2 linked regions of the Daphnia pulex genome follow. The protein of the gene in region 1 purifies or fractionates together with the protein of each later gene. This does not show direct contact. Links are inferred from orthologs where the notes say so. Each region holds a gene or a part of one and is shown on either strand. Other genes may lie near its edges.

Region 1 (10,365 bases):
AAGTGGATGTCTTTTTTTCGATCTTTTTTGGTCGTTTACCTGGCAACAGATGGCTGTACCATTTAACCCGGACCCAAACAACATCAAATTAACTAAATTATCAAATACTTAGAAACACATTTTTTATAAAATAAAAATACTATCTTAAACTAGAAAGAAAACCCTATCAACCCGAGCAGAATCTTTCTGTCCAAGAACCATTGCGTTTGGAAAAATAGTAAAAAAATGAATATTTTAACTGTTGGGAAACCGTTCATTTTCGCGTTTTTCTTGATGTGAAAAAGACGAATAAAATTTGGAAAGTTTAATGGCAAATGTGTGTAATAAATACTTTAAGATATTAACATACACTCGTTCAAAAGAGGGCTACTTAGCTACTTATAAGTTGAGAAACGCTTCATACGAAGTAACCGTAGTTACCTTCGCAACCGCCGACTGTTGTTAGATTAACAGGTTGTTCAACGTTATTCGACGATAAAATTATGTCTGTGACTAGGGGTGAACCTTTGACTTTAAGAACAGAAACGCTGTGCGCTAACCTCTTCACCGATACATATGACTGTATTACTAACTCTACTTTGGTCGTTGCATTAACTACAGAAATGCAGATGCACCTTATGCCTCTCGTCTTTGTAAAACATGTACAGCATATAGATTTCAAAAATGCAAACTAAGAATGCTTTCTTGCGTATTTTCCCAGACAAAACTACTTTACTGTTTTTCTTCGACCGTTTCTCAGCGCAATGTGTCCCTCTCCAGTCTTATATTGGCGCAGAAATGGTTGAAAAACAAACAAGCTTCAAGCGCATCCATCGAAGTTCCTGAAGGGATGGTTAAAGACGCCTTAAAAAAAAGCCAGTGCCACCATTAACTAATGGTAGCGTTGGAAACTCGAGATTTTAATTTAAAACTTTCATCACCGTCTCCCGTCGTTAGCTTTTAACTGTCGGTCAACAGTATCAGAATAATGTTTTACTGTCATCTGTCTGACAAGAAAAGACTTCAAATATACTAGGATAACTAGGAAATTATGTTGGATCGTGTGAGATTTATGCGGGTTTTTTGTTGTTTTTTGCAAGATTTTGCGGGATTTTGAAGATAATCGTGCAAGATAAAGTGCAGGATTTAAAAAAAAAAAAAAAACGGACGGATTTTCGGGACTTTTTAGGCAACCCTGCACGACTTTGCTATTTCAGAAGTGGCAGCACTGGCTATCTGTCAAATCAGGATCTGGACCAAAGGACCAAAGTGTTGACTCGAATACATACACAGAGTGTTGGCAAGCTATTTTATCATGGAGTTAGTGACACATTGTAAACATTCCAATGTGCTGCCTAGAAAAGGTGAAGATTGGTATGCTTTCTTAATTTATATATTGTCATTAATGTAATACATATTTTTCACAGAGCACGCAACATCCCAATCTAATTGCTTTATGCTGGTATTCCTCCATTACCTAATCATTGTGTGTCAAATGTATGCTCATTTGTCTGTTTATTACGGCATTTTATTTATTTCATTTGTGCTTTGTTTAGATTCTGACTGAAAACATGCTAGCCATGCTGATGCCAGCAAGGAATACTCCTCGATTGTCCCCCATCCTCTTTCTTGGATCTTAATTTCTGGGAATGTTTGTTCATATTAGTTTACTCGCTGGCTGCCACATTTTGCTTCCCATGTGAGATCTATTGAATTTCACGTGTGTTGATGGTGTGGAATCCTGGTATTGCTAACTATTAGCTCCAGTCTAAATTTGGTCTTGTTGCCGATTTTTTTTGGCACAATACTTTCCCTCCAGAAGCCGGTCTTTAGTGAACTATCGGAGGTTCTTGATCCAAAATATTCATTGGTGCATAACTTAGTAGTACTGCAACTTTTACAGATAGATTCTCATTATGATTTCCTTTTTTTGTTCTTTTCAGATTCACTGGCCTATTAGCACGAAATGTGGTAAAACCCTTTTGAGAAGAGCCTTGTTGTGCCAAACTTTAAAGTTCTGTTGATCGTTCGACATACCAAGAACTTTCCCAGGTAAAGTTGAAAATTTAAGATGTCGAGAAAGTTTTGGATTTACTCTAACTCTCTGTGCATGCTAAAAGGAATTCAAAGGAAGTTCTAGTGGCAGCTTATGTTCACTGGCAAATGCTGCGTGACACATTATGACACACAAAACAAGCCTAGACGCCCATTTATTCCACATCAAACATCTCTTTATCCTTCGTGACCAGGTTGTAACCGTGTCATATTTCATTATATTAAAGCGCTGGTCATGATTCATCATTATATTGTTCATTTACAGATAACTCCTTTTCAAGTCGACTTAAAAGTAGCGGTCGACGAAATAGCGGGCAGCAGAGTGCCGATTTGACTGTTGGGGACGTTATATTGGAGCACTTCCACCACTATGAAAAATTTGTGACATCTAATGTGAAGCTGCCCCTTCAACACTACAACCAAATTGAAGATCTCGATTCGGCTTTAGCCAACAACGATCTATCGATTGCAATGGTAAGATTGGCTGTATTTTATAAAAGCACCTATATGTTTACTCTAACCTTACCATGCAATTTGTTTAAAATATAGTGTGCCTTTTTTTCAAAAATCTTGAAAACCATGTCATCTCGCGATCAAATATCGAAGATGTTGATGAGCAAACTCTTCACCAATTCATTGTGATCAAAGATTCAATGGAAAAAAAGAGGAAACGACAGGCGTCCAGGATTCGGTCATCTGACCAATCTGATTGCAGTTATGGGAGGTTAGTTTTTCCCTCAAGTCCTCACATAACTTGTTATTGATAATATATTTTTTATTAGTTATTATTAACATCATACGGGAAATCAACAATAAGGCACCTAAAGTGGACTTCAAAGAGCTAATAGGAACCATCCAAAGCGCTCGTCGCATCTTCGTCGTTCGAGTTAAAAAACAAAGAATTGAATCAAATCGAAGTCCCAGACGAGGTAGAAGGGCACAGAGCCGATCGTAAAACCCAACTCGCTGTAGACAGCAGAATGGCAGAACTGTACAACGCCATCCTGAATTTTGAACTAAATTAGCGGTTTATGTACAAGTACGTTGTACCTACACCACAAAAATTATTGATTTATCGCTCGCTATATGCTCAATAAAATTTTTTTGTCTACAGGTCATCTGTGTTAAGCAGTTATTGATTCCTCAAGTACATCCCGTGTTTAATTGCTCATTTCATTGCTCATTTAAGAATTTTATGACGTTTCAGTTTAAGCAATAGGACAATACATTTGAGAATCCCGGAGTAAAACATCTCTTTGTCTTTTCTGTTATCATTATACTCTTTAAACATCGCCATAAGCGTCATAAATATGCATGTAGCCGGTATTCCCTTACAGATTAATTGCTGATTTTGATGGGATCTTCGAACGCATTTTTAATGAACATTTATATAGTTACTTTATTGTAAAATAGTGTAAACAAGTGCAGAATGCACGTGTCTCTTTTACATTTTCAAAATTGATTTCAAACAGTAAATCCATTCGAAAAATGCATTTTTTCTACAAAATTCATAGGAAAAATTCTGCTCGGGAAATAGCTATCTGGGTTTTATAGAAGTATAAAAAAATTGAAAACTAAACATAAATTTTTTTTTCCGATTCCCATTTTTTGGTTTTTCCCATAAAACTCGCAAAATTAATCAGAAATTCAGGAAGAAAAAGAAAGAGGATAAATAAAACCTCATTTAAAATACGCTGTATTTATTTCAGAGTTTTAAACAAATCGTACCTATCTGTAATATTCTCACATGTGTATTCGTGACTACAGTGAATAGAACTGAACTGATGTTTACTACAAGGGGCAGCGCGTTATATAGCAGCGCGTGGTATATCGGATTACTACGGGATACATGATATATCTATTGGGGGCATATGCTATAGCTACGCTACATTCACTTTCCTTTTTTTGAATGAAACATATTAACTACAAAACATCTAAAACATTTGCCATAATGTAAATCTACCAGTTTTACCTTGGAAAAATGATTATTTCGTAATTAATGACCATTTTCATTTTCCACGATTCCAATTGGTTGAAAAAAAATCCCAATAAAGCCTTTCAGGTCGACCGATGGAGGAGGAGCCTATGCTGCTATAAAGACCTCTAAACCTTCGGTTATTTAGTGAACTAAATCCCTCAGGGATTAATTTTTTAAAATTAAATTAATTTCTAGATAGCTAGTTTAGTCACAGTATCATTTGTCCAATGCTGGATCCGTCCATCATAATAGTCTGGGAGCTGGGTGACCAAAAAATGTTTTTTCTTTAGCAAAAGGTTTGAAGCTAAAATATGGTTACGCGGATGACCGAATGACGCCTACAAGGTGGACGATTGCGGTAACGGCCAAGGCCGGCGGATGGTCAACATAACCACGGAGAAGGGGAGAAAAGCATAATGTCTGTTAGTCAAGGGTTTACCGTGACGTTCGATATGCGCTCACGAAAGAGGAGCAGAAAAAAAGCTGGGAATATATAGGGAAGAAATTATAACTGCCAATAACACAAACCAAATAATCAAAAAGTGATCGGTTCAACCAAATTAATGCATAATCTTATTTAAAAAACCGAAAAATGCATTTTCTGTTCACATTTACTTAGTTAAAAACTCACAGATCCTCCCCAAATCTCTCTATTTAAAATTAGGCGCTTAGGATGCAGCGTTGCCATTTTCACAATTTACTGAAATTTCCTAAAATTTCTTACACACCGACGTCTGATGGCCCCAAGGCCCCAGATTATGACGTCTGTCTGTCGGAAATTAAATAAAGTTGATATCCCTCTATTTTTTAAGATATAGTTCAGATTTTCTAAACAAATTGTATTTTTTTACGGTTCCCGCCGACTTCGGGATCGCGTCACGCTTGAACGCCCCGGCCGCCAGTCGACAAACTTTGCTTTTCGTGTGCGTCATACCCCCCCCCCCCCCCCCTAACCATATTTTAGCTTCAAACCTTTTGCTAAAGAAAAAACATTTTTTGGTCACCCAGCTCCCAGACTATAACCCCGCTCCTGCCCCGCTCTCCCCTACAAACAATAACTTCTGTAAGAAACTACATAAAAGAGTTTGAAGTAGCATTGAAACTAGAATGTCCGTTGTGCTTTAGTGATAAATATGTGCCTAAGACAGATAACTTATCACGCTTGACGATAGTGGCGTATCAAGAACAATACAAGATACCGAGTGCATATAAAAATCAACAAGAATCATTTTCAAATGAAATCAGTGTCAGTGGCATCAGCTCTGAAAACATTATCTTGATTTGTCTTCCAGTCAGTAGTCTTAATGAATTTACAATTTTTATGTGTATACAGATTTTGATTTGAATTATGTGCACTCTGAAAGACAGCGTATCGTTCACGGGAGAGAAGCACTCCAGAATTTGGATGGCATTTCCAAACGAGTCAAATTTGTCCTAACCATTTTTCGCGTGGCAGGGAGTATAGGCTTCACTGAATTTCCGATTTTATATCGATCGGTGAATCGAGACGGGAGCCAATAGCGTGGCCCGATTTCGGTCACGTGGGGGTAGTTTTTCTCTCTACTAAGCTCCGCCTTTTCCCATTTCCTTCCATTGGGACTTTTGAGCTCTACGGGAACCCTTTTAGGAGGCCCTCGGCAGGCTAAAGCCTTAGCCTCAGGGATAACATCATGCCAACTTCTGGGTGCACCTGTATTGTACTACTCGCCATCTAGTTTTAAGTACAAGAACTAAAGAGACTATGTAGGACGCCATCTGCGTCTCATCTGAAACACCCCGGCCGACTTCCCGAGCTGTCAGTTATTATTCAGTTATTAGATTTACAGTGATCATATAATCCAATTCAACAAGTACACCATCCACAGCAATTCCTCTACATATTTCCAACTCCTTCGATTTATTATATTATAAGTTGGTATTTGTGATTGTCTAGAGTTAAGTGGGCACAGGTTAGCAGAAATTATTTATTTTGTATTTGCTTGTTAAAGTTTGTGTTGTGATTTTTGTCTGTTACAGCTTGGCGGCTAAAAATGTTCAAGTTCTTCTGGGGGAAAGGTGCACATCAGTCTGCTGAAAGATTGAAAATACAGAAAGAGCTTTTTCAGTTCCAAAAAGTATTTACTATCATGATTATGAATATTAATTGCCATTGCATCATCCAATATTTGATAACAGACAGCACAACATGGTTTTCCGAGTAAACCCACTTCATTGGCATGGGATCCTGTGTTACGGCTTCTATGTTTGGGGACGCGAACAGGTGCCTTAAAAATGTAAGTTTCATTTTTCATTCACAATTGTTCACACATATTTTTTTATTATTGTATTTATTAAATGCTTTTTTTTCAATTTTTTTTGTACCACACCCCTACTTGAACTTTCAGTTTTGGAGCTCCTGGAGTGGAGTTTTATGGACAGCTACCAAAAGATAAAATTATCTGCAGCTTACATTTTGTCCCTGGGCATGTATGTTTACGCATAAAAACTATTGCTATTATTCATCTCTGATTTATTTATTTTTTTAACAGGGGCGTGTCATTGTAGTGTGTGAAGACAATTCCCTACAACTTTGGGATATATCTACAGACGGTAGCCCTGCTTTAAAATGTGTTCATTCACAATCTTTGGAGGGAAAGTAAGATTTATTTTTTAATGTAGGCCTACTTATAAAGGTTTTATAATTCATAATTTATCATTTATATTTTGCAGGTTAAAAAAGATATCAGCGTGTTGTATTGAATCAAGTGGAGAACATTTGTTAATAGGTACAGAGAATGGAAATATCTACATCATGGATTTGCTGAAGCTTGAAATGACTGATTCTGTTATTTATCTTGACGTTGTAATGCAGAAGTAAGTACTTACATATTATTTTTGCATTTCACCATCTGCCTTGTACGAATTGTACAAAAAGATTTTTGGTTTCGTATTTTAACAGTGTTACAGAAGATTTCAAAGTGAACCCAGGAGCTGTTGAGTGTGTTAGTGAACAGCCAAACAGTGCAGATCACATTCTTATTGGTTATACACGTGGATTGCTTGTGCTATGGAATTGTAAAACACTGTCTGCTGTTCAAGTATGTATTTTATCAGTTTTATCTAAAATGCCATCATTTTATTTGAAAAATTATTTACATTTGCAGACTTTTGTTGCTTCTCAACAATTGGAAAGTGTGAGTTGGCACCCCAATGGGAAGAAGTTTGTTTCTGCTCATAATGATGGGTCTTACATGGTATGGACTCTTGGACAAGAAGAAACAGATATGTTTGTAAAGAAAGAGCCAAATACTATATCACACTATGGTCCTGATCCATGCAAAGCCATCACAAAAATTCTTTGGAGTAACACTGATGTGTAAGTTCAATAGTTATTGAGACTTGTTGAGTAGTTGTTGAATAAGTTATCAACTGCCGTACTTGGATACAATTTATTTGTGGTAGTTTACTCAGCAGTAGTTTTTAATTCATTTTATCACATATCTTCACAATATTTCTTGACAGCAAAATTTAAATGCAGTACTACCAACTTTTTGTCAATAAATTCAAACTTTATTTTTTTCAGGGAGGAGTGCGGAATCTTTGTGTTTGGTGGTGGAATGCCGAGACTTGCCTATGGCGACCGCTATACTCTTTCTGTCGTAAAAGGGGAAAATACTCACGCTACTTACGATTTCACTTCGAAAGTGATAGATTTCTGTTTAATCAGTGATGTTACTACCGGCCAGGCAGAAGCTCTTGTAGTGCTAGCTGAAGAAGAGTTAATTGTGATCGATTTGATTAGCACGGGCTGGCCTACATTTTCCCTGCCTTATTTAGCTTCACTTCACTGCAGTGCTGTTACAGCTCAAACTGTAGTTACAGTAACATCTGAATTGTATGATAAAATCAAAGCAAATCCACAAGGAATGACACCATCATCGAAAGTGAGTACCCGCCCATGGCCTATTAACGGAGGAATATCCTTCAGCGAACAAGTTGATCAACCTTCTCATCGTATATTACTTCTCACCGGGCACGAGGTATGTAGAAAATGACAATAGATGTGAACTTTTTAGAAAAAATAAAATAAAACTTAACGGATTTCTTTTAGGATGGATCTGTTCGGTTTTGGGATGCAAGCACTGCCTCCCTGTTTCAAATATCGAAATTTTCAACGTCTTCATGTTTCTCGAGTGACGATTTAGACTGCACAGCGGAAAGTGATGAAAGAGAAATTGATGAGGATGAATGGCCGCCGTTTCGTAAGGTAATGTTATTGGACTACGTCTTAAAGTTCTTCCATTTTGTATTTTTAAGTTAAGTCATGTTGTTCCAATGGAGTTTATTATTTTTTATACATTTTGCTTTGCCCAAGACTGGATTATATCCTTTTCCATTTTTATCTGTTTTTCTTGTATAGAGTCCTTCATTATGATAGACATTTTTTAGTATTTAGTTGGTGGTGCCAAGTGATAGTATTTAACAGAAGTGTCAATTATTCCTTACCTTCTTATTTTTTAATTGAAATTTTATATTATGCGAGTTCAGATTGGAGTATTCGATCCTTACTCAGATGACCCACGTTTGGCTGTTAAGAAATTGTGCCTGTGCCCTGTCACTGGATTGTTAACAGTTGCTGGGACGGCTGGTCAAGTTGTCGTTGCCGAATTATTCGAAATGCAATCGGAAAAAGAAGTCCCGGTACTTATATTTTGCAAAACTTTACTTTAAATTCAATATTCTATATATTTTTTTCTTCTTGACGTAGATTGTACTCGTTAACATAGTTTCAGATCGGGATAATTTTGTGTGGAAAGGCCACGATAAGTTAGTAGTAAGGAAAGGTTTACTGTCCTTTAAACCAGGCTTCCAGCCAACTTCTGTCCTACAGCTTCATCCTCCCGCTGCAGCCACGGCATTAGCGTTAAATGCAGAGTGGTCAGTATTGGCTGTAGGAACAGCTCATGGACTAACACTTTATGATATAGTAAGTATTGAATGAAATGGTCATCGTTCGCAATCCATTTTAATCTTTACAAAAAAATTTAGACCGTTAAAAAGGAGGTAGTTGCAAAATGCACCCTTAATCCGAATGATGTGTCAGGAACTGGAGAGCAGCCAATGTCACGACGAAAATCTTTTAAAAAATCCCTCAGAGAATCCTTCAGGCGGCTGCGTAAAGGGCGTAGCCAGCGTCCTTCCGCTGGCCCTAAATGTGCACCAACTTCACCGATATCAAAGGTCGAAGATAGTAACGCTATAAACAATGCTGGGCCATCTATAGCTGCTGAAGTGCGGCCTGTTGAGAGGCAGATTGAAGCTAGAAATGTTATGTTAGATGACGGTATGGGCAGCATGGTTCGTTGTTTACTGCTTGTCAAAACTTACGTAATCAGTCAGTCTTCCAATGCTACCGCAACTCTTTGGGCCGGAACAAATAGCGGAGCTATATATGTTTTTAGCCTTAACATACAGACGGGTATGTTGACATTTTAATTTTTATATTATTGCTGTGGCCTTTTTTCTTTATTTGTGTCTAACTATGCACTCATTTCCTTCTGTCTAATATTTATTTGCTTTAAATATTTCAGGAAATAGACGACACGTGGAGCCCGTGAACGCACAACTTGCAAAAGAGATTCAATTGAAACATCGAGCACCTGTTGTATCGATTAACATAATTGATGCTTCTTATGCAGCTATTGGGGAATCGTTTGAAAACTCTGGGATTAAATCGACTTCTGAATCCTGTCCTCCGCATCGCGTAGTGATTTCGTCGGAAGAACAGTTCAAAGTGGGTGATGAGTATGCGAGGAATTAATTGCCATATGTAATGAATGGCATTATTTTTGTTGCTTCTAGGTTTTCACACTTCCAAACCTGCGCCCGTATGGAAAGTACAAATTAACTGCTTACACTGGTTGCAAAGTTAGGCGCGTTGCGGTTGTTCCCTTTACTGCTCGATCGGATCCGTCCTATAAAGAGAACTGTTTGGTGTGTCTGTCCAATCAAGGAGATTTTCACATTTTAAGTCTCCCGGAACTGCGGCGACAAATGAATGCACAGGCTATACGAAAGGAAGATATACAGTAAGATAAAGGTTTTTTCTTAATTAATGTTTTCTTAAATTTCATCAGCAATTTCGGATCATTTATAGTGCTACCAGTACTGTTGTCCTTACAAATCAAGGAGAAGCATTTTACATGTTGTCTTCCAGTGAATTACAACGTGTTGCGTTGAGTGCTCGTAATTCCCTCCAGTTAAAATGTAAAGTGAATGGGATGAAAAATACCCAGGCTCCCGTGGAATCCTCCTCTCAGGCGGTGATCAAGATTTGTACGTCAAAAGAAGAAAAGCCAGAAGTAGTAATGGAA
Region 2 (10,365 bases), on another chromosome or scaffold:
GTTTGTCGATCGATTGGAGAATTCCTCGCGTTCGGGAGAAAAGAAAAAAACATGGCGCCGATTGGATTTTCAGTGTGTGTGTGTGTGTGTACCCCCTCCACGTGCTACCAAAACATGAATTTATGTGTCCTTTTTTTTCTTTTCTCTCCGACTGAATTCTTGACTAACATCGTGGAAATACGAGTCAAATAAACATGTGGCAGCCAAATGGATGCCAAGTTATCACGAAAGCGTCTGTCGTAGGTTTATACCTACATTTTTAAAATGCAGCAGCATTTTTATTATTTACAAGTACGCTTAATACGACCTTTAAGTAGCCGGAGGCCATTTTGGCACCCAAGGTCTACGTGTGTTAAGAAAAAAGAGCCCGAGACGTAACAAATGTAACGGTATAACTTTTTGGGTTGTGTCGCTCCGCCTGCAACCACAAAAATGAAAAAAAAAACGAAACTCGACTAAAACTTGATTGTGTGTGTGAAATCTTGATTACGAAAATTTGTCTAATCTAAAAGATATCCTTCTTAAACAAAACAAGGATATAAACCTGATTTTGTTTTTATTAAGGGGGGGAGAGAGAGGGGCTGATTCTTTTATAAATATTTCCATAAAAGAACCTTTTTCATCGAAATTAAAAGAATGCGCAATGGGAAAAAAAGGATAAGAAAACACCATAGGGTGAGGGACATTTTCCGCGGCCCCGAAAGAATAAAAATAGAGAGCGTAAAATGTTTTCTGGGGTTTTCTTTATTCCTTTACACACACACACAAGACGAGTTTGTGTGTGTGTATCTCTTTAAATGTATAGGGGAATCCAACCGCAAAACGGTCGATGTTCGTTTCTTTCTAGAAAAGAAATGTCCGACAACGACTTCCTCCTACACGCTTTTTTTTTCTTTCCTTTCTTCGTTCGAAAAATTTCAACCAATAAACGAGTGGTTTCGTGCGTGATAAAAACTACTTTTCTCTCATCGATATTTAGTAATAAACCCCTTTTTCCTCTGCATTACATCGTTTAGCATAAAGACAACCAACGATTGTGCTAACGGCACGTCGTACCGTAGAAATGCCTTTCCCATCGAACAACAACAGGTTTCACCAATTATAATATTAAAAGGCCACCACCATTTCTTGACTGTGGATGCCATCTAGCTGATTGTGTCGACATCTTTCTTGTATATTTCTAACAAGACGGAAAAAGGCGATCTGTGTAAGGCGGAAATATAATAATTAACCAGACAGAGATTTTCTTTTTGGCTAAAAGTGACCAAAACAAAATGGCTTTTAAAAGTGACACAAAAAGAAAAGAAGACAAAAGAGATGAAGGCAGTTGTACAACAGATCGAAAAGGTGACGGAGGGAAAGAAAGATGTTCCAATGAGGCAAGAACTGGAATGGACGCAAAGTCGATTAAGACTTGATCTATCATATTTAAAAATACTGGACCGAATAAACTGATGGTGAAAAGGGGAGGGGGAAAAAAACGAAAGAGAAGAAATGGTAGGCTGTTAGAATTTTTGCTGCCGTGAAACCTGCCAAACTTTCCCTATGAAACATGTGTGTGTGTGGTTCCAATTTTTAGTGTAAATCTTATAATGGCATGAAAGCGAATGCTTCGTTTTCTATTCTAATCCTAGACGCAGTCTTCCAATGACATGAGCAAAGGATTGACGTACTCGAAACCTTCAAACTCAGACTGATCGATGCGTTCAATGACCGTCCTGCAAAGCAACAAAAAATAAAACAAAAATAAAAATCGATTCTTAATCGACAGACGATCCATCACTTACTGATCGTCGGGTGTCAGTTGGACTGGTTCGTCTGTGAACTCGGGTGGAAAGTGAGCCAGATCACGGTCGGAATCTAGACGAGGCACGTAAGGTGGAGCCACTTGTTTCTTCTCCAACTGTGCACGTATGAAAAAAGATTAGTAATCTGTTCCTAGAATGTGGATTAAACGTGTAAAAGAGAGAGATGTTCATACCATTTCCCAGTCGACTGATTTAAAGAATGGATGATGGACGATATCGACAAAGCCCGTTTCTTTTCGACAACCCAAACGATCAGCTGGATTCTTATTAAGAAACCCTTTGAGGACAGAAGAAGCCTTCACAGATAACGACCTGGGAATGCGAATCGTCTTTTCCAGGATGACTGCAATATGAAAAGAAAAGAAAAAACACACAATGTTTTACAAACAACACATTTACAATCCTCTCAAGTGGAAAAAGGTCACGCGATCTTGATAAGACCCCGTTTTTCTTGCGAACTTTATCAAATGGACTCGCGAGTTTCCACAAAGCAAATATTATAATAAAGAAGACAAGATGAAGCTCTACCGTGAAACAGATAATCTTCAGTGTTTTGGTCAGGATTCTCTGAAGCGCCGACGATGTCGAAAGGTGAACGACCGGCCAACATTTCATACAACAATACACCCAGCGCCCACCAATCCACACTGATAAAAACGAAGAAAAAGGTTAGACATTTTCGCTACAGGGGAGTTAGCGTTCCAGATTCTATTGGGTTTAATTTGTAAACATTACCTGAAACTGTAGTCTTCTCCGCGCAGAATTTCAGGAGCGATATAGTTGGGCGTACCACAAAAGGTAGACGTGGTATCACCCGGACGGATGCCCTCTTTGCACATTCCGTAGTCGGTGAGTTTGATATGACCTTCATGGTCCAGTAGGACGTTATCTAGCTTCAGATCACGGTAAATAATTCCTTTCTCGTGTAGGAAATTGAGCGCCAAAGAAATTTCAGCCGAATAGAATCGAGCGTGCTCCTCAGGAAGTCGCCTTTGGCGCTGCATGTGGAACATTAAATCACCACCACGTACGAATTCGATGACAAAGAAAAGGCGTGACGTCGTCTGGAAACACGAATGCAAGCCAACCAAGAAAGGATGGTTGGATGCCGTCTCAAAGACATGTTTTTCCGTTTGAACCCAGTCAATATCCTGAAAGTCGAGTTGTTCAATTAGAAGAAGTTGTTGATAAAATCAAAGAATCAATTTTCTTATACCTCATCATCGGTAACAAGTTCCTTTTTGATTACTTTCATGGCGTAAACCCGACGAGTTCGTCGTAATTCAACCATCAACACTTTAGCATAAGAACCACGACCAATCACACGAATCAATTCAAAATCCGCCATCGAATACGGACGTTGAACAGCACCACCTTCGACACCTTCTTCTAATATTTTAAAGTATACAATTAAAAATCTGAATTGTTTTGTATGGAAATATAAAGTACCTGGACTTCCATCAACCGGAACACTCACACTGTGAGACTCAAAAATAGGTTGTACTATTGGCGGTGCGGACGGTGCTTCGGTACCATCACCATTCTGTCGCAGCGCTGTCGGGGGTTCTCCGGCATTAACAACAGGGCTTATAGATGGAATAGCAGCAGCGGTCACTGCGGACCCTGAACTGGTATTGAGCGCGCTATTTGACAGTAGATGAACCTGGGATGGAGTGTTCAGAGCGGCCACTTGCTCCGTGTTGCAACTGATCTTGATAAGCTTGTGGCACTTTTTGTGGATGAGCAGCTTGCACTGAATGCATTTGAATCCTTGCCGACCTAGACCCCAGATACGGTCGTGACAGTAAGCGCAAGAAGCTCTCTGTCATAAAAATGGAAAGTAAGGATTACTGGGAATCAATGGTGTTGCATGGATAAACTTACGCGATTGAAACGTTTTGCCTGGAAAAGATGTCCATTGACTCTGTACAGTTTCCGCCATCTACGAGCACCACGTCGATAAATACTTTTATCTTCTCCAAAACATGGAAGCCCTGGTGACACAGGGACACTAGGGAAAACTGAATTTTAAAAAGAGTAATTAAATTTCAAGTTTATACACAAGTAGAATTAAAAAATACCATGAATAGTGATTTCTGAATCGTTGTTCACTTCATACAGACGAATAGCTTCATCAATTTCAACTTGTGAAGAGATAGTACATGGATCACCTAAAGGGATGTAAATCATAGTAAAAGAAAACTGTGTGGATTGTATGTGTTGTACAACCTTCTTCGTCAATCCATTTCATGGTAAACTCTTGATCAGGAGAAAACTGGCAAATGGCTCGCATCTCATTTTGGAGATCATCCAACAGGATCTCAGAGTTTATGTAAGTCACGAGAATTTTCCTGCAAAATAACTAATGAGGTAAGTACATACAAAGATTGAAAAAAAAAACATGAAGTATACCCGCTGAAAGCTGCCTTGACTTTGATTTCGGCCTTTTCCCCATCACTCACGAGGGTGGTGGGCATCGTCATTTAAAACAACAGGTGGGTTGGGCACAAATTGGCCGTTTCCTCAAAATTACAAACAAGTCCTCACGGCAGCCGGACTATTGTAACCATTTGAGGCTATCACTGATTGTGAACCACGATTCCACTATAACTTCTTTAAACTTCTAACAGAAAACACTTTTAGTTTTAACCTAAAAATATGAGTCAGGCGGTTAATACTGGCAAAACTGACGTTTCGAGGATTAACCTTCTATGCAGCCGCCAGGAGGCGTTCTCCGAGATTGATCAAAACTTGATTGATTTTAAAGAAAAATCGTTTTTGTAATTGTTTTTTAAATATTCTCAGCTATTATTTAATGACCAACAACACTTCCGTCATTTAATATGTGGATTTATCTCGAATTCTAATTCGAATCCGCAACCGTTTTTTTATTTCCCAGCAGGCAGAGATTTTCATTGCTTAGCGCAACTTCGGATTCAGAACATACATTTCTGTTTGTCACCGCCACTCATTTTTCACCTCGCCCATTTTTTGGTTTTTCCTGGGAAAAAAGGCCGGAAATCCTTTTCAGTTCCATTTTATTATCTCAAAAGTTTGTCGTTTCTGTCCATTTTGAACAATGGTAAGTTAAAAATCGAATTTATTCATATTTTCGGCTAGTATTAAACCTCCAATTTCAGAGTGAAAATTTTATTTGACATTTGACTTGTCTAATAATATTTCTCTTGTTATTTGTTTCTGCAGACGGAGGAGCAATTGAACCGAGCGTTGGACTTAATGCGACGTCTCCCTCCTCAGCAAATTGAAAAAAACCTGAGTGACCTGATTGACCTAGTTCCTGAACTGTGTGAGGATCTTCTATCATCAGTGGATCAACCACTTAAAATTGCACGTGATAAGAGAGAAGGAAAAGATTATCTTCTCTGTGATTATAACCGTGATGGAGATTCTTATCGGTAACAGTATTTACAGTTGTGTTGAAAACTTGACCCTAATAATAACAAATGTTGATCTGTCAGTTCTCCATGGAGCAACACCTATGAACCACCTCTTGAAGATGGAACACTGCCCACGGACAGGCTACGTAGATTGGAAGTAGAGGCCAATGCTGCATTTGATCAATACCGTCAGATGTATTTTGAGGGTGGAGTCTCCTCTGTGTACCTATGGGACCTGGATCATGGATTTGCTGGAGTCATTCTTATAAAACGAGCTGGTGATGGCGCTCGAAATATTAAAGGGTGCTGGGATTCGATTCATGTCATTGAAGTGCAAGAAAAGTCTACCGGCCGTTCGGCTCACTATAAGCTTACGTCGACAGTCATGCTATGGCTGCAGACCAGTCGTCCCGGTTCCGGAACGATGAACCTTGGTGGAAGCTTAACGCGTCAGGTAATATTATTGTTTACTTTTATGACCATGAGATATTTCCCTTAAATTGAACCGATTTTTTCTCTCGTGTTAGATGGAGCAAGACGGAACAGTAAGCGAGCCTACGTCGCACATCGTAAACATGGGTCGTCTTGTCGAAGATATGGAGAACAAAATTAGGCACACTTTGAATGAAATTTACTTCGGTAAGACTAAGGATATTGTCAACGGGCTGCGTTCCATTCAGCCTTTGGCCGATCAAAAGCAAAAGCAGGCTTTCAGCGAAGATCTGGCTAATGCTTTGCAGAAAAGACAAGGAAAAAGCGATCCTTAACTGATACATAATATTATAAATTGCATTTTCCTATTATTTCCCTTATTCAACCAAGTTTTTCCCCTCCTGTAAAGTATAACATCCATTACCCAATCAAGTTGTTGCCCGTTTTGCTTCAATTCACATGTTGAGTGATTGGAAAATAAAAGTTTGAAGTAAAAATCGTTAAATTTAAGGCTCCATTATTTTTGAAGTGCTTGAAATTGGTTTATTGAACTCTTTCGTTTTGCTGCATGGGAAATGGGTATGAGTAAGGTTTAGGTTAAACAACTATCTTGCAATCAACTGCAGAATAGCGTAGTGTTCATTAACAAGTCTGTCTATTGACCCATTGGGTCGAACGGGGGAGGCAATAATAAACCAGAACAAGAGATGGACTTATCCAATGAAACGAGGCAACAAGGTCAAGATACCCATTTCTCCCCACGATTTACATCAATCGGTAGTAGGCAAAATTAAAAGAAAGAAAGTAGAATTTAAATCCAATATCCACAGCTGTTTCCCGTTTATTTTTTTGTGTTTCTCTCCATTTTTATTGGTAACCAGTTGGAAGTGAAACTTCACAAATTTGTGTGAATTACTTTTCGGCAGCTGTGTTGGCTTTAACGGCAATCACACACTCTTCGCCGCAGGCTTTCAAAACGGTACACTATAGAAGAAAAAACAGGTGATTATACATCCACTCTTAATATCAAATTGAACAATACATCGCATAGGGTAAAATTAGCTTACCAGAAGTTCGCGACCATTTTCGAAATCAGCCCTGATTTGGTTACCCAAGTCTCCTTCTGGAACCTTGAGATCTTCACGCAAATCTCCGTTGTCATTCATCATTGAAAGAAAGCCATCACCAGATATGTCAATGAGCTAAAACAAAAATTTTGTTAATTCCAAACTAACATAATCAAAGTTGTAATTTTATATTACAGTGAAATCCTCCCTCTTGACAACAGGGACATCCATGTTGTGGGTGGAAGGGCAAATATCTTCAAGTTTCTTGCCATTGAAAATGTCGATACCAACCATGTGAACCTTGGCGTGGCCATGTTTGCCAGTCTTGGATGTGGACATCTCAACAATCTTGCAAGGCCTTGCCTTCAAATGAAATTCACTTTAAGTACAATGAAGATTAAAATAATTTCTATTATTATATAATCACCTTCAACATGACGAAACCGTTCTTGCGAAGAGCAGAGCATTGCATGGGAAATGTTGCTGAAGCTCCAGAATCCCCTGACTCGAACTGAGTGTCTTCAAGCTCTGCCATGTTGTACAAGTTCAGGGGAATGGATATATAGAATCACTGTGACAAAAAGAAAGTGATTAGAAACATTCACATCAATGGGGTAGCGATTTCAGTACTATCTTCTATATTGATCACTGCCGCAGCAGCTGACTACTATAGTTATTACAACGGCGTTAAGTTTAATTTGACAACAGTACTAAATACCCAAAGAAATATAACTGAAAAAAAGGAATAAGGATATGGAATCCAATTACATGAGAACACTACTGTAGGCTAATGAATATGCAACAATAATATGTGGAAAAGGCCGGTTAAAATCCCAACATGGCGCCCAAAGTAACCTCATGTGCCATGTGTCATTCCTACTTCGACCACCAGCGTTTACCAAGCCCAAAAAACACAACTATCAGAAATACAAACGTCAACAACACGATTAAAGTGAACACAAATTTGTAACGGAGACTTTGGCTATTAAACTAACTACAATTACCGATATCAATATGCGAAATAAGACTAAGGAAAAAGGTAGAATATCAATTCAATACTTACGTTCTGCCACGAGCGGCACGGGAAAGACAATTCGGAGTCTATTGCCTGGCACCAGCTAGATAGATGGCGCCGTGGTGGAACAGCGCCACCGCTAGCCCCCTAGGCAACAACAACGTAGACAAATGAAGAACGCTAGCCGTCGATTTTTGGCGGCATGGCTGAACAACGCATTTAGCCCTGGAGGGAAATGTTTTCTCGAGCTCATCGCCACCATCATGGAAATCAAAACCATTGAAAAAGTTAAAAGTTAAAAAAAAAAATACAGATTTCTATTGTATCATAAAAATAATTTTAAATCGTTGTTAAGAAACCAACGCCATTAAAAGCTTGGCAACACGATTGTATTGGCGGCAAACGATCACAATTTTAATTCTGTTGTGTTCTGCTGGTATTCGTTTGATTTTTAAAATTCGTGTTCTTAGTTGCCTAACTCTCTTTTATTTTCTCTAGACATTACGACAACCTGAGTCGCCCCGTTATATTTCCTTTCTTGTGTTTTTTTCATTCTTAAATGTCAACACCGTGACGTCCATTTTTGTTCAACGTTGATGCGGCAATGTGTTGTTCGGTCAACGTTCGCTACTCTCGCCCGTTAAACTCGCATTCAAGAGATTTAAAATACAGAATAAGGATCGAAACAATGATGAGACGTGACGATCAAAATAATTCAAATGAATTCAAACAAAGAAATTTTTATTTTTCAGTCCTTTCACCTTAACGGAAATATTTTTACCTGGGCATTATGAGAAACCCTATAAATAGTAGAGGGATGATGGTCCCTCGACGTGATATCAATTCGGATCGAGGACAAGTCAAGTAACAAGATGCAGTTGTGGTTATCTCCTCTGCTCATCGTCGTCATCGTGAGTGGAGATTCGGGAACGTACGACCCTGACGAAGCCTGGCGTCAAATGGTCGGACTAACCGATCATTCGGCTACATTTTCAGCTATCACGTCGTGTAAGTATTGAATTACATTTTAAATTAAATAATTGATATAATCAATTTGATTGGACTATGCAGACGATGAAACGAGTTCTCAATCATCGAGATCCACCGACTTGAAACCGGCCGCTTCTTCTTACGGAAGTGGAGGCTATGGGGGCGGGGGCTACGGCGGAGGAAACTACGGCGGAGGAGGCTATGGCCACGGAAGTGGAGGAGCAAGTTACGGTGGACACGGGGGAGGAGGTTACGGACACGGGTATGTAATTTAATATTTTTGTTTACTATCAAGAAATCGATACTTTGATCCGACCGAGTCAAGTGCCAGTTTTGTTTTCAAAATGAAATTGACGTATCATAAAAATTAGGTTAAACACTTCGGCCGTTTCTCTGTTGGGATTCCTTTACCTACTCAATTTGATCCAGGTAAAAACCAATAAAGGCAGGTCTGAGGTCATCACACAAGTGATTGCATTAGTTTATCACTAGCCACGCCCTGAAATCTTCTTCTTCTTTGCTTAACAAACTGAAAATACCAATTAGATATCAATGGCTCCTTTTCTCTTGATTCTAATAGGTCAAATGGCAGCAATGCGGTAGCTTTACTGGGACTTTTGCTTCTGATCAATCTCTTGCGGGTCGGTATCAATTTCCACCTATTAATCCTTTCATCCTTGTTTGCACGGGAATGATTCTGTGATTCGCGGTTTCACAAATACTTGAATCATCTAACCTTCCGATTCAATTTTTTAGGACATTCTGAATCAAATAACGACGACGGCTGCCAGTGGCCGGAAGAAGAAATCTATTCAAGATCCATTTCGGGAATGGTTTTCCAATCTCGGCCAAGGAGGAATTCAAACATTGAATTATGAAATCGTCGCCACCGTTCTCCCGCTTCTAGTAATTTGAATCTAATTATTTGTCTTTGGATTGAGAATCAATGACAAAATCTTTTAAAAAATAGAGCGAGTTCACCGAACATGGTGATAACAAACGGCCTCTGGTCTGCGCTCAAAGGTCCATCTGTTTAGCCAATCGACGTTTGACATCGAACTACGGCCAAATGGGGAAAGTCTTTGGCAAACTAAGCAGGTAAAAACTTTTGTTTTCAATTTCTTCTGAAGGCAACCGAGAAAAAAAAAGAACTAGTTTTTAAAAACAAAAAAACAATCTTGTTGACATTGTTACTTTTCAAATGTATAGCGAAGCCGTTCTGGAACACTTCCAATCATCATCCTATCCGGAAGGAACCTTCACTGAGGCTGCTGCTCACGGCCGAAATTTAGCCGACTGCCACAAAATCTACAGTCAATGCCAAGTGGATTGAGGACAAAAGGGATCAATGAAAGAGGAGATTCTTATTTTTCTTTTCTTTTTAATTTCTTTAGATTCAATCGATTCTTTTTTTTTGTTTTGTTTCATTTTTCTTTGTTTTATCTTTCCGGATTTCGTCATTTTTTTTTTTTTTTGTTTTCCTCCAGACTCATGACACACGCACACAGCACACGGATAATATTGATTTAGTCCTGTATGGAGGGAGGTTCAAACACGATTGAGGGAGGTGGGTGGGGTGATTGGGGGAAAAAAATTATAAAAATTGAAACGAGCTTTTTCTTTTTTCAAAATAAATCGAGAGCAGACACTACTAC

The links. Proteins that work in one complex are often made in the same cells at the same time.
Region 2: the proteins of lethal(2) giant larvae protein homolog 1-like (region 1) and atypical protein kinase C-like purify together in Drosophila melanogaster (affinity purification with western blotting; 6 studies listed by BioGRID, with this or other methods). This does not show direct contact. The link is inferred for Daphnia pulex from reciprocal best matches to the Drosophila melanogaster genes l(2)gl and aPKC.

The regions. Positions count from the first base shown.
Region 1 is NC_060023.1:5,189,901-5,200,265, forward strand, and holds the start of lethal(2) giant larvae protein homolog 1-like, read left to right. Parts: upstream 1-5,553; 5' UTR 5,554-5,961; intron 5,962-6,028; 5' UTR 6,029-6,042; coding exon 6,043-6,126; intron 6,127-6,187; coding exon 6,188-6,285; intron 6,286-6,396; coding exon 6,397-6,478; intron 6,479-6,540; coding exon 6,541-6,647; intron 6,648-6,721; coding exon 6,722-6,865; intron 6,866-6,926; coding exon 6,927-7,089; intron 7,090-7,155; coding exon 7,156-7,367; intron 7,368-7,574; coding exon 7,575-8,031; intron 8,032-8,102; coding exon 8,103-8,258; exon of another isoform or gene 8,259-8,415; intron 8,416-8,497; exon of another isoform or gene 8,498-8,539; coding exon 8,540-8,692; intron 8,693-8,759; coding exon 8,760-8,978; intron 8,979-9,040; coding exon 9,041-9,470; intron 9,471-9,582; coding exon 9,583-9,785; intron 9,786-9,853; coding exon 9,854-10,080; intron 10,081-10,148; coding exon 10,149-10,365. UniProt on the Drosophila melanogaster protein: Essential for the development of polarized epithelia, for cell polarity associated with asymmetric cell division of neuroblasts during development, and for oocyte polarity formation.
Region 2 is NC_060022.1:4,022,157-4,032,521, reverse strand, and holds atypical protein kinase C-like, read right to left. Parts: upstream 4,540-10,365; 5' UTR 4,292-4,539; coding exon 4,221-4,291; intron 4,160-4,220; coding exon 4,038-4,159; intron 3,980-4,037; coding exon 3,890-3,979; intron 3,830-3,889; coding exon 3,693-3,829; intron 3,631-3,692; coding exon 3,258-3,630; intron 3,198-3,257; coding exon 3,025-3,197; intron 2,960-3,024; coding exon 2,544-2,959; intron 2,456-2,543; coding exon 2,337-2,455; intron 2,152-2,336; coding exon 1,982-2,151; intron 1,904-1,981; coding exon 1,788-1,903; intron 1,719-1,787; coding exon 1,631-1,718; 3' UTR 1,154-1,630; downstream 1-1,153. Other genes in the region: F-actin-capping protein subunit beta-like, read left to right, coding at 4,888-4,890, 5,013-5,224, 5,288-5,660, 5,734-5,973; eukaryotic translation initiation factor 5A, read right to left, coding at 6,551-6,622, 6,706-6,840, 6,901-7,068, 7,133-7,240; calpain small subunit 1-like, read left to right, coding at 8,593-8,728, 8,792-8,972, 9,291-9,351, 9,467-9,616, 9,681-9,808, 9,920-10,043. UniProt on the Drosophila melanogaster protein: Serine/threonine protein kinase which is required for apico-basal cell polarity in the germ line as well as in epithelial and neural precursor cells, for epithelial planar cell polarity and for cell proliferation.